2 linked regions of the Arabidopsis thaliana genome follow. The protein of the gene in region 1 purifies or fractionates together with the protein of each later gene. This does not show direct contact. Each region holds a gene or a part of one and is shown on either strand. Other genes may lie near its edges. The genes, in order: PCFS4 and FY.

Region 1 (9,348 bases):
AGAGCTGTACAGATGCATCAGGATCGTATGTGATTTACGCGCCAGTGGATATAGTGGCGATGAATGTGGTTCTAAGCGGTGGAGATCCTGATTACGTGGCGTTGTTGCCGTCTGGTTTTGCTATTTTACCGGATGGTTCGGTTGGAGGAGGAGATGGGAATCAGCATCAGGAAATGGTTTCTACTACTTCTTCTGGGAGTTGTGGTGGTTCGCTTTTAACCGTTGCGTTTCAGATTCTTGTTGACTCTGTTCCTACAGCTAAACTCTCACTTGGCTCGGTGGCTACGGTTAATAGTCTGATCAAATGTACGGTGGAGAGGATTAAAGCTGCTGTTTCTTGTGATGTTGGAGGAGGAGCGTAGTTTTTTTTCAGGTATGATTCCACAACTAAGATCTTAACCGAATGGGATTCTTGTGGAGCAAGTAACAAGTGTTTTTTCCTTATGCAGAAGAAGTAAGAATAAGAGAAAAGGAAGGATTAAGAGCGGTTATGGTTTCTCATTTTGTGTTTTTTGAAATCCAAAGGAAGTCAAGAACGCACCTTTTGCGTTTAATTTCATCTCAAGCTGATGAAAAAAGGTAAAGTGGTTCGGGTATTGACTTCTGCTGGAAACCACGGTTTTAAATTGTCTATTTTGCGTTTCGTTGACAGTTTTTTGAACACCTTTTGGGTTTCCCCTTTTTGCGTTCTCCGACCCAAGTTGTCAGTTTCTTTGTTGTTTTGTATTGTAAGCCCTTTTGTTGCACTTGACAGATATGGAGTTAAAATCTTTGTTATTAGTACACTACTAGTTTCTGTTAGCTCTCTCTTATCCCATTCAACCAACGGTCCAATTTTCTAACAAAGGCAAAATAAAAGGGCAATGATGTGTGTTCTTAACCTGATCTTTTGTTCTAGCTTAGTTCATATTGCATATTGCAAGCTGTTTTCTTATATTCATACTATAATAGACTATTTTCACAATGTATATAACAAACATGAATTTTACTCCAGCCATTACATCTATTGATCATCACATACTCTTGTTTAGAGACTAACGGTTGAGACAAAGCCAGATTTGAACTGAGTTTGCTCTGCAGTCCTATAAGGTACTACCAGAACTAAATCATAACCTTTAAATCTTTATAATTCCATATTTCAAATGTAACAGTCATGAAAAAACTCTAGTTTGATCGAGCAAAAAGCCAAGTAAGTTCGAAAGCTTTAACTATCGTTCAATCTACTTCGACATAAATCCGGCTCTGTATCATGTAGGTATGAAGATACAAGTAGTGGAAATTTCAAAAGCAAAAGGTTCAGATAGAAGAAAAGTAAAACTTGTTTCATTATAGACAAAGTCAAGAGAACAAATACGCTTAAAGAGAGTTATGTTAACTAACATTTTTAGCTAACAGCCTAACATAGAAAGGTAAAACTCAGACAGGGAAAGCTCTAAAGAAGAAACCTGAAACTGGTTCTCTTAGCAACAGCATCTATGAGATCCATTCATCATAAGAAATCTGTTCACATTCGAATATCAGTCTTCTCGGGCTTTCCCTGCAATATCTAAAGATGAAAAAGAAAAAGACAATCCGAAACAGAGACATTGTATTCCATTTACATGGGGAAACTACTGTTGCGACATCTGATTTTACTACTACAAGCACCCCAGGTTAGGTGTAGCAGAGAATGCAGAACAGTTACACGATATCCATGTCCTAAGGCACAACAGGAATTTAGAGGCATAAAGAATGATAATATATGTGGGTGTAAACCTCTTTTTTTCAATGGTACAGTTTTAGGAGAAAGAAGACTCTCTCCATCATTTCTCTTCATTGGTGGTATTCTGTGACTAAGTGCATATAGATGATGAAGAAATAAGAATGTAACTTAAATGTAGTCAAGAAAAAGACCTAAAATTCGGTCTAAGGGATCTAACTCCGCATCTTTTTCCTCTGACTACCCTCTTCCATATCACCCTGAAAAAGCCATGATCGGGAAATCAAGAGGTCGTCACTGGATAAATGTCTAGCAGCGAAAATGAAAATGGATTCAACTAGACACAAATGAAGCTAATGAAAATGCATGGAATGGCTTACCCCATTGGACTCTGGCCTGCACTTTGCATGCACTATAGGACCTAACTGAGACTTGTCCATATCTGTTGTTGATTCTTCAGGAGCATTCATGTATACCGCACCTTTGTACATCCATTCCTCGGTTTCATCACTATAAAAGTCTTCAAATGGCTCACCACATAATGCACATGAAGTTTGGTCTTCATCTGCAGGAACTGCCATATCTTCGTCATCCTTCTTTTCTGTTGTTGGCTCCGTGGGCAAGAACCCTGGTACTGCTTCAGCTCCAAGTGCTTCTGCACCACTGAGCCACATGCTAGCACTTACAAACCATTTCCGAGAAGGGTTCTGCTTATGGTTCTTGGACATCCTGTTCTTGGTTACATGCCAATCCATGTGCTTACTGTGCTCTTCTTGGCACTTGAAGCGTAGACCACAGGTTGTGCATTGCCTCGGGAGATCCCCATATAAAGCACTGATTGCAGACTCATTACGTATCTTGAGCATGTCTGCATCAAACTCCAACCCCAATGGTCCCTGAATATATAAACCAACAATTCAAGATAAAGCAATAACTAAGAACAAACCGACTCTCAAGGACATGATTTGAATAATTACCTGACCAGCAGGCTGATTGTTCAATGAGATCAAACCTTGAGCCATGAGAGAGCCAATCAGACCAGAGAATGCGCCACCTGGTGGTTGATTAGAGGCTCCTATCTGAGATAAAACTCCTGAAGAAAGAGGATGCATGGCTTCCCCACCTTGGATTGATAAAGATGGTCTAATGGTTGACCCATGTGGAGGGTACCCATGACTTACGTGGGTTAACAACGATTGCATTGGCCTTGGAGCCATAGCAGATGAGGATGGCAAATAATTAACTAGCATCTGATTCTGTTGAGTCATATCATTAAGATGACTCTGAGAGACCTGGTTTTCGGGCCTATATAAAGGCTTACCTTGCAAGCGATTTGACATCGCATTACCGGGATTTGCCAAATGATGCAAATGAGCAGAAGGTACAGGGAGAGAGTTGGGTCCTCTAGCACTCAAATGGGGCCATGTCCCATCAGGAAGAGCCCGGCCAAAACGTGAGTTAACATCTTGAATGCTATCAAATGGAGGAGCCCCGAATTCACTGTTTGATGAAACTAACCCTACAGATGAAGCCAATACTTTCAAGTCTTTTCCTGCTCTTGTATCAACACGGTTGGATGTATGTGGATAATTTTGTGACAAACTCCAATTTTCTCGTAGCTGATGACTTACACCATTCTTAATGTCAGAATCTAAATGAAAATCACTTGTGTTTCCTACTCTGGGTCTTGCCCTTACACTTCCTAATGCTGGTACAGATGATCGCAAAAATTCACCAGCTCTGCTACGATCTAGGGTAGGGCTCATATCTTCCCAATCAAACTCTTCTTCCTCAGTGTTCTGCCATGGTGTAACCATCTTACTGTGCATGCCATTCATATCGCGAATTGGTTTATTGATCGTTACGTGTTTGCTGGTGTCAACTCCATATGCATCTATCAACGCTCTAGGTCTTTCGTGATCATTTCCTTGGCCTAAGTTTTCCTTTCTTCGCCATTCCATATGTTCATCATCTCTGCTAGTAGCTCGACCCATTCCATAGTTAAAAGCTTGATTAGAAGGATTAGCTCCATCATTAGACCTCCTGGTAAAACCATCTGGTGTACTAGACAGTGAAGATGGGCTCTCTAACTGATCTTCGAAATCATTATACCCACCGAGTGAATTTTGGCCATAAACTCTTGCACTGGAATTAATTCCTCTCAAATTCTGCATGTCAAGCAAGAGCAATTAAGGAAATATGCATCTCAGGTATAGTCACTCTTTGAAAAAAAACATATAAAAACAGTTCCAAACGACACATGATGCATAAACAGTGATCTACTGTACTATAACCAAAAAAAAACCCTCTACATGTGCTAACAAGATCATTTCTAATGTACCAGAGTCCCAGTGACCTACTCATCATGTATAACTGAGAGAGGCCATAACAACAACTCCCTTCCAGTCAAGATTGATTACTTGAAGAATGTAAACATCTATCTCGTCTAACTAACAAAACTTTAAAGAAATACAATGGATAAGACCACTATGAGGCCAAACTAATCTAATACCCGTTTTACTTAGTACACTTATATAAAATTAACACACCATAGCTTCAAGGTTGCAGATGCACCTAAAAAAAGAATGTCATCTCTGTTCATAATGACAAAGAGAAAGGCTTACATTTTCGGCGGCTGAGGGCTCCAGCCTGCGAAGATATTTTGGATTAACATGTATACCTCTCGTTGGTTGACTAGGCTCAGAAGCCCCTACGGAAGATTGGTTTGCTGCAGATGAAAGTTGCAATTGCATATCAATCTTGCGTAGTACAGGTGGTGGAAAAACACTCGACCAAGTCCCAAACAGGTGACGCATTGACGGATGTAAACTCGGATGTGCTTGCCTATATGCAAGGCAGAAGACCTAAAGCAGAATAGGATCAAAACAGCTCATGGGTATGCTTCAGCCCTATTCAAATCATTTAAGTAAACATCTTCTTGTAGACTGCTCACCTCGGGTAGACGGGATGAGAAATAGCGACCATAATCCCGCCCAATGTTCTTAACAATGCTGTCTAAAAGATACAGAGATGGCAACTTTTGCTCAACAGGAGCCTGCATATATACACCCACAGGTAACTCAGAAGCAGCCATTTCACTAAACCACAAACCAAACACTAATCTCTGACAATCAAAAACCTAATTTTTTTCCCACTTCTACACTTACATACTATACAATAAGGCTAGAAAGTGGAAACAAATAAGAAGAAAGCAAACCTCAAGGATTCGAGTGCAAATAGCATTAGCGATTCCTTCACCATGTTCCCGTTGTTCACCAGCGATAATAGTGAGATCAGTGATAATAGGCTTAGAATTGAAAGTAAGCTCACCCAAAACAACCTCATAAAGCTGAACAATCTCATCCATACTCGGAGGCAAAACCTCTTCACCACCACCGAACTCATCTTCACGCTGATTAAGCAAAGCTTTAAACCGGTCTAACAACGACGGCGGTGGCGGCGGTTTCTGCGGCAACTCAACGGACATACCTTTGCGGCTGGTGCTATTAATCGAAACAAGTCTTGGATTGAGGATTTTCTCTGAGTCCATCCCCAATTCAATAGTGAAGAGTGATAATTAGTGGCAGCATAAAGGCTCTAGGGTTTCTGTTCCACCATGGAAACTCCTCGAATCGCCACCCTTGTGGGGGAAGAGAGAGATAGAGATCGATAACGGAAGTTTTTTTTTTTTTAGTGAAGAGGATTTTTTTTTCTTCTCAATTTTGTATCTCTACTTTATGCAAATCTCATTTTTGTCCCTTTTTTTTTAGAGTTATCAACTACATCCCAATTATTGTTTTTACCCGTTTTGAGTCACACAGATTTTTGACTTTTACTATGACCTCATCAATTAATCACGTTGCAATTCTCTTCTTTCCCTTATTTGAAAAGTTTGATCTTGCCTCTTGGTGACACTAAATTTAGTTTTGAGGAACTATTTCATTTCTTAGCTTATTTATCTATCTTGATAAAGTTTGAATCTATCTTGTTTTGATTCTACTCATGGACTATGAATGATTTTTTTTTTGGTAGACAATTAGATTTTATATTATTTTTGATTTTTGACAGAAATACAGAGATTAGCAAGAAGCGGATTAAAACAATCTACAAAAATAAATACAACATTACAACTCTAATTCATTCAGTTCGCTTTTATGCGTTCAAGGCTAAGTTACGAGTTGAAACACCGATTTTGAACTCGTGAAACTCGGAAATTTGTGTGGTTGTCACATGACCGAAAAAGTGGAATTCTCATGGTAGTTGCCACGAGCATATCTTCGAGAACTTGATTCAAATTGATACAGTTAAAAACACCACCATCAAACCACGTCCTTGTTACGTTTCTTTAAGTTATATTAAAAAAATGTTGGATTAGTTGTATAAAATCCTATAAGGGTTTGAGTTTATTATTACATAATTATAATTATATAGCTTCCTATTTTATAAGTTTAAATTTAATATTTGTTAGTTCCTTTGTTTTTACATTTTAAAATATAAAGTAATTGCTATTTTCAAAAATGTTAATTAATTAGATGCTAAATATGTTAATTATTGATGTGGCAGCTCCCGATTGGTTGTTTTCAAAAATGTTAATTAATTAGATACTAAATATGTTAATTATTTATGTGGCAACTCCCGATTAGTCGTTCTAAATCCTAGGTTATGAATCCACGCTACGCATGGGTCTATTTGTAAAACTTTTTAATATTTTTTTGTGTGAATAAAATTATTATAGAAATTTTTTAAAAGATATGTTTTTATATGTCTACTTGTTGTTAATATTATAAACTCTTTGAATTTTAAAATTACCATGACAATAGTTACAATTTAAATACAAAACTAAAAATAACTTTAATACAACTTTTAGGTTTACAACATTTATCAAAAGAACATTTTTTTGGCTCATGACTCTCTCTTTAGCTTTAGATATTTAGGATCACGACGTCTTTTTATGTATGAAATAAATTGTTTTATGGAAAATAACTTCGACGACTTTCTCATTTTGAAATCCGTAAATTTACTATTCTTTTTTGTTTATCTTCGCTGCATTAGTTAGTATAGCTCGTCTAAAAATAAGATATTATATAGAAGTATATTCATAAGCTTATCTATACTTTACTTTAACAACTCATATTTTCTCACATTCTTTTCAATATGTATATGAATTTCTGTCTTCACAATTTTTTTACAAAGAGCTATCACTCTCCCTATCTTTTTGCAAGCACTCGTTTTATTTGTTTCATTTTTTCTTACAGTGTCTCTTTCCATCCTCTTATGATTTTGTTTAAGCAATATGTGTCATACCTTCTAAACTTTTCACATGTTCCATATTTTTTCTTCGAAAATCTCTTTCTTCTCTAGTTAGTACTAGGGCGAAACCCGAACCAAATCGCGGGCTTTTTTTATTAAAAAATGTAATTTTGTTAAGTTGTATGTAGGTATTGAATGTTATTTGTCATGATTCATGATATATGTAGAACAAAAGAATTCATTAGAAAGTGATTAAGAGCTCAATGCATTTGTTAATTTTTTAAAGTAAGATCTATATAGCTTTTATAAGTTTTGGAAGCTAATTTTTTTGTATTACGAACATCTTTTTAGAAGAGTCATTAAAAAACAAAAGTGAAAAGAGTTAAAAATCACCAGGTGCTGATTCTGGTGAGGTTAAAGTCATTGAAGATTCTTAAGAATATGTTATATGGAGTTATCATATTTGATTTTGATGTTCCATATGCATATTTGATTCATACGTTGAAGAAGTATAAAAAAACTAAAAGCTATGTTTGTTTGTTTTTCAAAACTTGAAAATTGAAACTTATATTATTGGAGAATCGAATAACCATACCAGAAAAGAGATAAATTTAATTAGACCTTAAAAAACAAAAATGACATCTTAGTTGTACTAAAATCTCTAAACCGATTGAATATAATCAAAAAAAATTCAAATGGCTTCATCAACCCATCAATTTATTCATTATCAACACAATATCATCATCATCATTACCCTCTCATAATATCATATTACCATCACCATCATCATCATACTATCTTCTTCATCATCATATCAACATACCATAGTCATGATAGATATCATCATTGATGATAACATTATCATAAACTCGTAATTTTCATGCCAAAAACATAAAATCTTAATTTTTTTGCCAAAAAAGTAATCCCGTAATTTTCCCGCCAAAAAAAGAAATCCGTAATTTTTCCGCCAAAAACGTAAACCCGTAATTTCCGCCAAAAAACCTAAACCTTCAATTTTCCCGCCAAAAAACGTAAAGCCGTAATTTTGCCGCAAAAAAAATGTAAACCCGTAATTTTTCTGCCAAAAACGTAAACCCGTAATTAGCTTGCTAAAAACATAAACCCGTAATTTTTCTACCATAAACGTAAATCCGTTAACCAGTCATAAACCTTCCAAAAATGCACCAATTTTTAACCGTTAAACCAGTCGTTCAAAAAGGTTTATAATGCTTGAAACCGCAACTGTCTGATTCCGTAAACTCATGCAGTCACAAATGCAGGCACTGCGTTTCAACCAGTCAAGCCTTTAGATAAGTTTTCTTAGTCATGGGCATTCGATTATCCATTCAGTATCGATTCGTATCCATTCGGTTATTAGTTCTTTCAGTTATAAAGTTTAGTATCCATTCGGTTATTTTAAAATTATGGTTCGGTTTCAGTTCGGATTCGGTTTTAAAAATTAATATCTATTCGGTTATTTTTCTTTAAATATTTTTAGATATTTTAGTTATTTTTGATATTTTCATATATTTTTGGTTACTTTCGAGTATTTTTACTATTATACGTATATCTATTTTTAATTATTAGGTTTAGAAATAACTAATATTTTTAAAATATAATTATATTTTGGATATTTTCGGTTATCCAAAATCTTTTGGTCTCTATCCATTCGGTTTCGGTTATTTTAAAATTATGGTTCGGTTTCAGTTCGGATTCGGTTTTAAAATTTTTAAAACCGCATCGAATTGGATTCGGTTATTTTAAAATTATGGTTCGTTTCAGTTCGGATTCGGTTTTAAAAATTAATATCTATTCGGTTATTTTTGTTTAAATATTTTTAGATATTTTAGTTATTTTTGATATTTTCATATATTTTTGGTTACTTTCGAGTATTTTTACTATTATACGTATATCTATTTTTAATTATTAGGTTTAGAAATAACTAATATTTTTAAAAATATAATTATATTTTGGATATTTTTGGTTATCCAAAATCTTTTGGTCTGTATCCATTCGGTTTCAGTTATAGAATTTAATATCCATTCAGTTATTTTCAAATATTTTGTTCGGTTCGGTTTAGTTTTTTTCATCAGTTTTGGTTCGGTACATTCGCTGCGGTTTATTTTCCGAGGCCTAAGTTTTCTAGATTAGGAAGTTTAGGCCTATGTTTTTATATAGATTTTAATTTTGAAAATAGTTTGGTTGGGGTAGGCCCATGTCTAATTTTAATTTTGTTAAGTTGATGGGATGACATGGAAAAATAGTAAGTTTTTATTGGTCAACGTAAATGAGGTGTATTAATCAAAATGTTCTGATTGGCTGTTGATTTTAATGAGGTGTCAAGCTGTGATTAACTGAAAAAGCGGAGGTGTCAGCAGAAGAGAGACTTGTAGTGTTTT
Region 2 (10,610 bases), on another chromosome or scaffold:
GAAAGAATCAAGTGTAACGCACTATTCTATACACTCGGGGACTGTAGGACCGTTAGATCATCGAGATTGAAATTGTGAGCCGTTGATTGTAATTGCTAAAATGAATAATATAATTATGGAAGTATACGACTGCGTTATCGGCCGTAGATCATGCCACCTATTTGGCGCCGGAAATCTGGAATGTTATTGGCCATTGACGGGTTTTTGTAGTCAACTGTCTACAGGGTAACGTTTCAAATATTTCTTAGTTTATATTTTGTTTTGGTCAAAGTGCTTTAATCTTTAATATTTGTTTTGACCAACAGTATATTTACAAAAAAAAATGGTGTTTTGGAAAAAAAAAAAAAAAAGAACAAAAACACAATATCAGTCCACCAGTGTTACGTTCCTCGCCTCCTCCTCCGTCGGCTAGTTGTACAAAATTTTAGTGGATCGCTATAATGGTCATCTTCAGGGTGTCATATGTTTTGAGTCAGAATTTCGAATGTCGAAGTGATTCAGTAATGGTTGGGAAGGCTTGTGATGCTGCCTCATCCCAGTCCAAATGTATTTGCCTTGACTCTTGAAGAGCTCTAAATCCCACGTCTTCTATCTAGCTCTAAAGTATGCTATGTCACTTTGGTTGTGCTTCACCTTCTTTGTTTTCAGCTCATGTTTGTTCATCTTCACATAAAGGCATGTTGAAAATGGAAAGGTGCAAGATCAGTCAATATGTTCATCTTCACATAAAGGCATGTTTAAGGCAAGGTGATTGTATCTCTCCTTATCTCTTTATTTTGGTAATGGAGGTGTTATCCAGAATGTTGGACAGTGGGCTGTTGGAGGGCAAGTTTTCTGCTCATCCTTTGTGTATCACTCCTCGCCTAACTCATCTAGCTTTCGCAGATGATTTATTGGTTTTCTCAGATGGTTCTCAGCACTCTCTCCTTGGTATTAGTGGTATACTGCAAACTTTCCATTCCTTTTCCGGTTTGGACATGAACCCTTCAAAGTCTGAGCTGTTTTTTGGAGGTTATGGGGATTCTGAAGCTGCTGTTATTGCTGACTTGATTGGGATTCGAATAGGTGTTTTTCCCTCTCGGTATCTTGGCTTGCCGCTGAACCCGACTAAGCTTTCTCTTGCCACACTTCAACCTTTTATTCAAAAGATTACCGAGCAGCTTAACTCCTGGACAACCAAGTTTCTCTCTTATGCTGGGAAAATCCGGTTAATAGTATCTGTTGTTTATGGGAAAGTGAACTTCTGGAGTCAAGTCTTTGTTCTACCAAAGGGTTTTTATAAGAAAATTGACAATCTCTGCTCTGCTTTTTTGTGGAAAAATACTACTTCGTCTGCAAGAGGTGCAAGAGTTGCTTGGAAGGACATTTGTAAGACAAAAGAGGAGGGTGGGTTAGGTATTCGATCTCTTGAGGAATTTGCTACTGTTTTCAGGTTGAAACAGGTTTGGCACCTCTTTACTAGAAGGGGCTCATTGTGGGTTATGTGGTTGGACCATAACATCTTCGGAAGAAGGAACTATTGGTTGATGGATAGCACACCACGTCTATCTTGGAACATTAGGAAGATGTTGGAAGTAAAATCTGTGTTCCAGAGATTGATTAAATGTCAGATGCGAGACGGTATGAAAGCCTCTTTCTGGTTTGATTATTGGACAAGCCTTGGTCCCCTTATTGAGCTTTTTGGTCAGTTGGGCCCAAGAGAGCTTCGGATCAGTAGAAATGCTAGCGTTTGGGAAGCTACACATGAAGGTCAATGGCATTTTCCCAATGCGAGATCTCACCAAGCTGAGCAGTTGCAGATTTGCTTGTCCTCGGTTGCCCCGCCTTCTCCTTTAAGAGGTGCTGATTGGTACCAATGGAAGCAGCCCACAGGTACTTTTTCTGAAACATTCTCTTCGAAAGGAACTTGGATGCAAATTAGACAAATTTCTCCTCATGTGGCTTGGCATAAAGCTGTCTGGTTTAAGGAATCTGTCCCAAGGTTTTCATTTATCCTTTGGATGGCTTCCCATGAAAGGTTGACAACGAGAGATAGGCTTTTACAGTGGGGTATGAATGTACATGGTTCTTGTGTTCTGTGTGATTCTGGCCTTGATTCCCATGATCACTTGTTCTTCAAATGTGAGTTTTCTAGATCACTTTGGATTTCGCTCGCTGGAAGGATTTCGCCGAATCCTCCACTCTCTTTACCCTTGGCTTCTATGTGGGTTCTTGGTGTACATTCTTCTCCGCCGCACTATGCAAGTAAGATCTTAAAACTTCTTCTTCAAACCGCTGTTTATATGATTTGGAAAGAGCGCAACCGCAGAGATTTCTCAGCAGATGCTACCTCTCTCTCCGCTACAAAAATTCTCGTTGATCGCACAATGCGTAACCGTCTCATCTCCTTCTCGCCGGAGGAATCAGTTACCACTATCTCTCTCCTTGGATTCTACTTTGGTTGTATTAGTACCCCACTATAGGTGTGGCAAAGCTCATATTTATGTATGTATGGTGTTCCATTAGTCTCTCTTCACAAGAGCTCGGTGTGTTTTTGGGGTTTCATTGTACTATGTAAACCTTTTTTCATTTGGTATAAATCTTAACATTAAACCAAAAAAAAAAAAATGTTGAAACCTGTTAACATAGTCTATTTATACTCTATAAGTGCAAAACAGGGTTTTAACATGATTAAGTTTCGTAGTGGAATATAATAGCGGATTGGGATTGTGTTTCATATAGCATTGCCATTGGGATGTAGTGAATCTTGTTTGGAATAACGTATATCGATTTTTTTTTTTTTTTGTTATTTGGGAGATTTTAAGTTCTAATATGACAAGATTATAACATTTAATTTAACATTAAACCAAAAAAAAAAAGATTGTAACATTTTCTGAATTTTTGTAATTCGTTTTACTAGTGTCAGTTTTTTTTTCTTTTACTTTTAACTCTTTCAAATATTTAGTTATTTTAATGTTTTAAAAAAAAAGACTAATTTGCATCACCACTATCTTTGGGTTGAATATTTATTCAATATGTTCCACTATGAATACGTGAATTATGTGTGTGTTTTCATCTACAATTCATACACACACTCTGTCATGATTGTGAAATAAGCAGTAAAACAACAACAATACTAGAAAAAACCACACTTTGGGACATTAGAGTTCGATGTGAATACAATACTAGGATTTTCTTAATGTTAATGGCGATGCCTCTATTCATTCTTCTTCCTCTTTCTTTTATAGTCGTCCTTCACGTGTCCTGCCCGATCCGCAGTATCCACCCTAGAATCTCGTTGATCTCAACAGTTCTTCAGATCTTTTTCATGCCATCTCGCGGTTAGTTGCTTAAGATACACTCCTCGAGCTTGTTGATCAACCGGAAGGCCGACGGATGGGTTTACTAAACAAACTCATCCGTTATTTCCTACTCGCAATACATAGTTCAGCCTGAACATATGTGTCTAATTGATAGGGTAGGCCAAGTAACAACATACACCCAAAAAAAAAAAAATAAAAAAAAAAATAAAAAAATCGTGGAGATTAAAAAAGCTAAACCAATCGACTTCTTGATTAGTTTGATGATTTTATTAATCTTATCGGTTAAAACCGACCGGCGATCGAGGGTTTGGCTTGCCGAGAAGGAAGAAAAAAAAACCCTAAGATTTATTTCTACTCTTCACTCCATTATCGACTTCTCATCATTTCTCTACCCATTGTACTTCTCTGCTCTTGGGTTGTCATCAATTCGCGAATTTGATACACGCACACCCTAAAGAGAGATCCACGCTCGTTTCAAGGTAACCTAAATTCGAACACTTTCGCAGTTTCCCTTCGATTCGAATAAATCACTGTTCTCCGTGGGCAACAATGTACGCCGGCGGCGATATGCACAGGGGTTCACAGATGCCACAACCACCGATGATGCGGCAGTCGTCAGCTTCTTCCACTAACATCAATCCCGACTACCACCACCCATCTGGCCCCTTCGACCGTAAGTAGACTTTGAGCGTCTTCCTTTTATCGGATTAGTGATGACTGTGAGATTTAATGTCTCTCTGTCTGATGTTGCAGCCAATGTAGACAGTTTTGGGGCGAAACGAATGAGAAAGCATACACAGAGAAGAGCTGTTGATTACACCAGCACCGTTGTTAGATATATTCAGGTAATGTATTCCCATTGCTGCTCACAGTATTTCTTTGTTAGAACCTTTTGTACTGCTTGATTATATTTCTCTTGTTTTCTGTAAAGTTTTAGTCTTGGTCTATATACTCATAGCCTCTGCTTTCCCCAGTTGAATTCTTCGGTCCTTTTTATCTCAAAAGCCATTAGATAGGATTGTCTTTATGTCATGGAACTGATATGGATATGTAGTTCAACGAACTCATACTTTATATGGAACTAAAAGTAGAGAGTGTTTACTCCATATATGTTTTTGTTCAGGCTCGAACATGGCAGCGAGACTCAAGGGATAGGACCACTCTGCAACCAACCCCAGCTGCAGCAGTTGATGTTAGATTTCTTTGCTTTTCTGGGTTTTGCAATAAGATTGAATGGTTTACTGATCTAACTTTTATATCAATGCTTCAGATGCTTCCCACAGTTGCCTATTCGGATAATCCTTCAACAAGCTTTGCTGCAAAGTTTGTTCACGCATCTCTAAACAAGAACCGTTGTTCAATCAACCGTGTATTGGTATATCCCTCTACCAGCTGTGTGTTTTGTATTATTCTCTGTTTGCCATGTTTATCTATTCAAGAAAGCAACATCTTTCTTTCTTTGTTTTAACTCTATTATGCCAACTTAATGGGATCATTGCTGATTGGGTTTCTTTTATTTAGTGGACACCTTCAGGAAGACGTCTTATCACGGGCTCCCAAAGTGGGGAGTTTACTCTTTGGAATGGGCAATCTTTTAATTTTGAAATGATTCTTCAGGTTCGTTTCTCAGATTGTATAACTAATCTGTTGAAACTTCTGTTTTGATTCTTCTATAGTTGCTGCTCCTGGTATTGACTGTTTAAATTTGTTGTCAATATCAGGCACATGATCAACCTATTAGGTCGATGGTATGGAGCCACAATGAAAATTATATGGTTTCTGGTGATGATGGAGGCACATTAAAGTAAATTTGTTTTTCCCTTTCAGTCCCTAACTTATGATGTTGTAAACGAGAAGCTCAGAATTCTATGATTCAAATGCTGTGACAATAAGGATCAATTGTTTCTTATGTATCAGGTATTGGCAGAACAATATGAACAATGTGAAAGCCAATAAAACTGCTCACAAGGAATCAATTCGCGATTTAAGGTAAAAAAAAGTTTGATATGTTGAATTGCATTAAATGAATCTCTCAAAACTGAACAATGTGTATCCAACAGTTTTTGTAAAACAGATTTGAAGTTCTGTTCGTGTTCTGATGATACGACTGTTAAAGTCTGGGATTTTACCAAGTGCGTAGATGAAAGCTCATTAACCGGTAATGTTATTTGAACAGATTGGCGGCAGATACTTTATTTCTTTGTTGCTTGCTCTTCTAATTTGAATTTAGAAGGCCGCTTGAGATGTGCTGTACGTTATTAGAATTGGATTCTTAGGCTACATAGGAAAAGGTGTCATTGAGATTCGCTTTGGTGTCATGCCATGTAACGTTAGTTAGTTTTAAAGGTTCCAAATTGGTGCTTATAACAAGTTTCCTATCCTTTTGGAGGCATGTTTTCACAGTTTTCTTCATATTTGTAATATTTGAGAACTTTCGAAGTAATCAAAGGGTTCTTTATATTTTGAACTCAGGCAGGCCATGGTTGGGATGTCAAGAGCGTTGACTGGCACCCCACAAAGTCCCTACTAGTTTCTGGTACATTATTTTATAGACTTCTATTTGAATAATGCAATAAAAAGAAACCGCTGTATATTTCAGAGCTTCTCTATGGCTGATCATTAACCGCTTTAATCTGTGTTGTCAGGTGGAAAAGACCAACTTGTCAAACTCTGGGATACTAGATCTGGGAGAGAGCTTTGCTCACTGTAAGTAGTACATAATGTAATATGTAATTTTATTATAGTTTCATGTTCAAAGCTTTGACGAATTTGATGGCCTATTCTTACTTCTGCAGCCATGGTCACAAAAACATAGTACTTAGCGTGAAGTGGAACCAAAATGGCAATTGGCTTTTAACGGCCTCGAAAGATCAGATAATTAAGGTAAGTCTCACTTTCTTTTGGGTGGGGGGGGGGGGGGGGGATATTGATTTGTAAATGAGATTTTTTCCTTGCATTATGGAAGCATTTGTATGACACTTATGCATGTAATCTGCAGCTGTATGATATAAGGACTATGAAGGAGCTTCAATCCTTTCGTGGGCACACGAAAGATGTAACATGTAAGCTGTCAAATTCTATAATGATCATGTTTTAAACACGTGAAATCAGACAAACTGGCCGCATCAAATTACTTTTCTGTACATTGACTAGGACTCTAGAGTATATGCCTTTGAAAGATTATCATTGTACCCATGCTTTACTTGTCGACATATGAGACATTATCCCATGGATGCGAGTTTTCAATTTGTTTCTTCGATATTTCTAATTTGCAACTATTTCTAATTAAAAGTTGTCTTAACTCTTTTTAAGCTTTGGCGTGGCATCCCTGCCATGAAGAATATTTTGTCAGTGGGAGCTCTGACGGCTCCATTTGTCATTGGATTGTGGGGTAGGTACTGTTGTGCAGCAGTATGCTGTTTTATTTATTCGTTCATGCTGCTATTGTTTTAATCACTTATAAGGGTTTTTTAAATCATGTTTCTTCTCTACATTTTATATTCAGTCATGATGCATCTACATACTAGTAGTCTAGTAGCATCTTACTTTACCTTATATTTTGTGGTTTTTGTTTGAGGTGTATCTAATTATGAAAACTTTTCTTAATTCCCAGGCATGAAAACCCGCAGATTGAAATCCCAAATGCTCATGATAACAGTGTTTGGGATCTTGCATGGCATCCTATTGGATATCTTCTTTGCAGGTAGCAATTTCAATAGTCTGGTGCTATGAGTTCCTTACAGTTTTATTCTATGATGTGTTGTGGTTCCCTGTGCTCTTGAATAACTAAATGCTTCAGATAATGATTTTTAACCCTATTATCTGCAGTGGTAGCAATGATCACACAACCAAGTTTTGGTGCAGAAACAGGCCTGCAGATAATCCCCGAGATGTTCTTATGCAGAACCAAGGTTTGTTTTTGGGCTATTAGTATCTGATTTTTTAGTAGGCATTGGGATGGATAGGTTGTGGGTAGTACATAATTACTATGTCCTTATCCATCTCAGTAGTAAGGATGTTGTGATAGGCTTAACTGGTCAGGCCCTGGCAGGGTCAGTCATATACTCCTATAATGGCTGGTTCGAAATGGACCTTGGCTTTTTAAGGTTCAGGCTCGGCCAGCCATATGGCACCGTGATTAACTGAATTTTTTTGTAGAAAAGAACAGACTTGACTGGTCAAGCTGAGCTGATCTGATATAGGTGCAGATTTCTACAGGCTTTAAAAACTCAGACCCAAGTACTCGGTCATTAGTATCTCACTTACTGTTTTAATTTTGAGCATGTACTTTCAAGTTGCATTTGTCAGAAATTAGTGTTTTTTATTTAGTGTTTACTAACAAATTGAAGATGTGATTTGTGTGTACTGATAAGCGTAATTTGTATCAGGCTATAATGAACAAGGTTTTGGTCGCCAACCTGATAATTTCCAACCATCTGAGGCATCGCCAATCCCTGGAGCATTTGTGCCTGGGTTGACACGGAACGAGGGGACTATCCCAGGAATAGGAATAGCAATGCCATTTGATGCATCCTCTCAAGGGGATCATAAACAGCCTCTTCCAGGTTCCATGGCACTGGGGGCTCCTCCTTTGCCACCTGGTCCCCACCCATCGCTTCTTGGAAGTGGCCAGCAGCAAGGGTATCAGCAACAACAACAACACCAAGGTCATCCCCAGCAAATGCTTCCAATGCCCAATATGCCTCACCATCAGCTACCACCATCATCTCATATGCCATTGCACCCTCATCATCTTCCCCGGCCTATGCAAATGCCTCCTCACGGTCACATGCCACCTCCCTCAATGCCTATGTCTCATCAGATGCCTGGATCAATGGTATGGCCCTCAGATCTCTTGTAATTCAACCACAACTTAAGCCTGGCTTTTGTCGGTACCCCATGTGTTGGATTCCTCTTTGTTTTATTTTCTTAGTGATATCTTAGAGAGGTGTAGAAAGAGATATTAATCCTCACTTGTTGTTGGAGTAGGGAATGCAAGGTGGCATGAATCCTCAGATGTCGCAAAGTCATTTTATGGGTGCTCCTTCAGGAGTATTTCAAGGACAACCAAACAGTGGCGGACCCCAAATGTATCCCCAAGGACGTGGTGGTTTCAACCGTCCACAGATGATTCCAGGCTACAACAACCCTTTCCAACAGGTCCCATTTAAACACTAGTCTTTTGTTATTTAGTATACCCGTAAAGGTTTCACATGTATATATGTGCAAATAGGCAAAATGTCTACACAACAATGCAAAACACCTGATACGATTGAACCACAATACAACTTTCTCAGCTAGTTTTAAACTCACTAGCTAGGTTCAATGGTATGATTAGATGTTGAAAATGTAGAGCTAAAATAGCATAATCCGTTGACTAATCCGTTGTCTATATTTTATTTCGTGCAGCAGCAGCAGCCACCTTTACCTCCTGGCCCTCCACCAAACAACAATCAGCAACATCAGTAGGCAGCCGTTGTATTAGTACATTAGTTTACAACCGCACTGTCTGCGGGATAAAACGATTGAAGTAAAACTATTATATGGGATTCAAATTTCGTTTCTATAAAACAAAACATAAAAAAAAAAGGTTTTTGTTCTGTTCCAATATGCAAATAATTTGTATTAGAATTTTTTGCACCCGTAAAATATTTGAGCATAGTAACAACTTCCATGTGGAGAAAGTATTGATGAAATACTATGATTTATGGCACATGTCTTTTTTGTATTTTTAATAATTAAATTCATATATTTTATGTTAAGTGACCACAGTCATAATACTCTAGTTTTGATACTTAATGTGAACAAGTTACGAAGTTTTAGTGGCTTCACATGTCAAATACTCTAGTTTTCGTTAACCCGACAAACTTTTTTTTTTTTTTTTTTTTTTTTCATAAATTTCCAATTAACCAAAAAAAGTTGCAATACAAAGCCAAAAGGCCAACACAGCACGCAGGCCTGAAAGAACAAAAAACAACCAAATACAAGTTTAAAAGGCTAGATCAAAGGCAGAAGCCCAGAAGACCCAAGCCACCACAGCAGACGGCGAAGGAGCTAGAACACCAAAGCCCGACCCTTTGAAAACCTGCACAAGGAGAAAGCATCAGACTTGAGGAGGATCTCTATTGAGGAAGAGAGAAAACCAAGAACCCAAAAGCGAGAGTCCGGATCTCCCAGGAGCGCGGGAGCGAGAGAGAGGATCCAACCGAGCCCTTATCACCATCTGAATTTCCTTAGTGATAAGATGAGAAGGCCGCCTGATTTCAAATTGAATACGAGCATTACGCTCTTTCCAAATAAAGTAGACAGAAGCTTGGAAGAGAAGCTTGATAATGAGCATTAGATTCTTGTCCCTTGTAGCCGAATTAAGCCACAGCAAGCAATTCATGAACTGAGGAGGCGGCGAAAATCCAACCGCCCTCATAAAGAAGGTCCAAATTCTTGAGCTGAACCTACAAGCAAAGAAGAGATGGTCCCGAGTTTCATCGACCAAGTTACACAGAACACACTCAGCATGAACAAGGAGCCCCCAACTTCTTAACCTGTCCCGAGTGTGTAGCCTATTCCAAGCAGTTACCCATGAGATGAAAGCATGCTTAGGAACCTGATTTGTAAACCAAACTGCCTTGTGCCAAGAGACTGAGACAGAGAACGGTTGGAGAGCTCTCCAAGTATCCGCTGTAGAAAACTTTGAAGAAGGCACCCGATCACCTACTTTCCAAAGATAAGAGTCATCATGCTCACAATCAACCAAATTCCCAACAGGAGGAAGAAGAGATTTCAGAAGAAGAATAACCGGATTCCTGCTTCTACTAGAGGCAATCCACCAGTCATCGTTCCTAATGGCGTCCCTGACAACAGAGGTAATGGAAAGCCCAACCAGCTGAGGACCGGTCAACCCCGTTAAGTGTATAAGCGGTCCATGACCTGTCCAGTTATCCTGCCAAAAGCTAGCAGTGATTCCTGAACCAACTTCGCAAATAACAAAAGGACGAGCAACTTCTCTAAGTTTACAGAGCTTCCTCCAAACCCAGCTGCCCGAGAGATAGGGATTAAGATTCCAAAAGTTCCTACGGCCGATTAGATGCAACCGAACCCAAGAGACCCATAAGGAACCCGAAGCAGTAAACAACAGCCAAATCAGCTTGAGAGCCAGGACCTTATTCCAAGAAGATAATCTTTTTAAACCCAATCCACCACTTTCCTTAGAAGAACACACTATATCCCAAGAGATTTTTGCACCACGAGCTGAGTTTGGAGCTCCGGACCATAAGAACGCGTTGCACAACTGCTCTAACTTATGAAGGC

The links.
Region 2: the proteins of PCFS4 (region 1) and FY purify together in Arabidopsis thaliana (affinity purification with western blotting, with the first as the bait; one study listed by BioGRID). This does not show direct contact.

The regions. Positions count from the first base shown.
Region 1 is NC_003075.7:2,467,984-2,477,331, reverse strand, and holds PCFS4 (PCF11P-similar protein 4), read right to left. Parts: upstream 5,467-9,348; 5' UTR 5,250-5,466; coding exon 4,917-5,249; intron 4,755-4,916; coding exon 4,653-4,754; intron 4,564-4,652; coding exon 4,324-4,563; intron 3,868-4,323; coding exon 2,677-3,867; intron 2,596-2,676; coding exon 2,080-2,595; intron 1,960-2,079; coding exon 1,915-1,959; 3' UTR 1,307-1,914; downstream 1-1,306. Other genes in the region: PDF2 (protodermal factor 2), read left to right, coding at 1-362.
Region 2 is NC_003076.8:4,324,799-4,335,408, reverse strand, and holds FY (Transducin/WD40 repeat-like superfamily protein), read left to right. Parts: upstream 1-3,437; 5' UTR 3,438-3,781; exon of another isoform or gene 3,782-3,851; coding exon of another isoform or gene 3,852-3,887; coding exon 3,888-3,975; intron 3,976-4,055; coding exon 4,056-4,147; intron 4,148-4,356; coding exon 4,357-4,494; intron 4,495-4,572; coding exon 4,573-4,677; intron 4,678-4,823; coding exon 4,824-4,919; intron 4,920-5,023; coding exon 5,024-5,106; intron 5,107-5,219; coding exon 5,220-5,291; intron 5,292-5,362; coding exon 5,363-5,460; intron 5,461-5,778; coding exon 5,779-5,838; intron 5,839-5,947; coding exon 5,948-6,008; intron 6,009-6,097; coding exon 6,098-6,185; intron 6,186-6,300; coding exon 6,301-6,364; intron 6,365-6,614; coding exon 6,615-6,693; intron 6,694-6,915; coding exon 6,916-7,005; intron 7,006-7,130; coding exon 7,131-7,213; intron 7,214-7,690; coding exon 7,691-8,139; intron 8,140-8,291; coding exon 8,292-8,462; coding exon of another isoform or gene 8,463-8,480; exon of another isoform or gene 8,481-8,630; intron 8,631-8,711; and 4 more.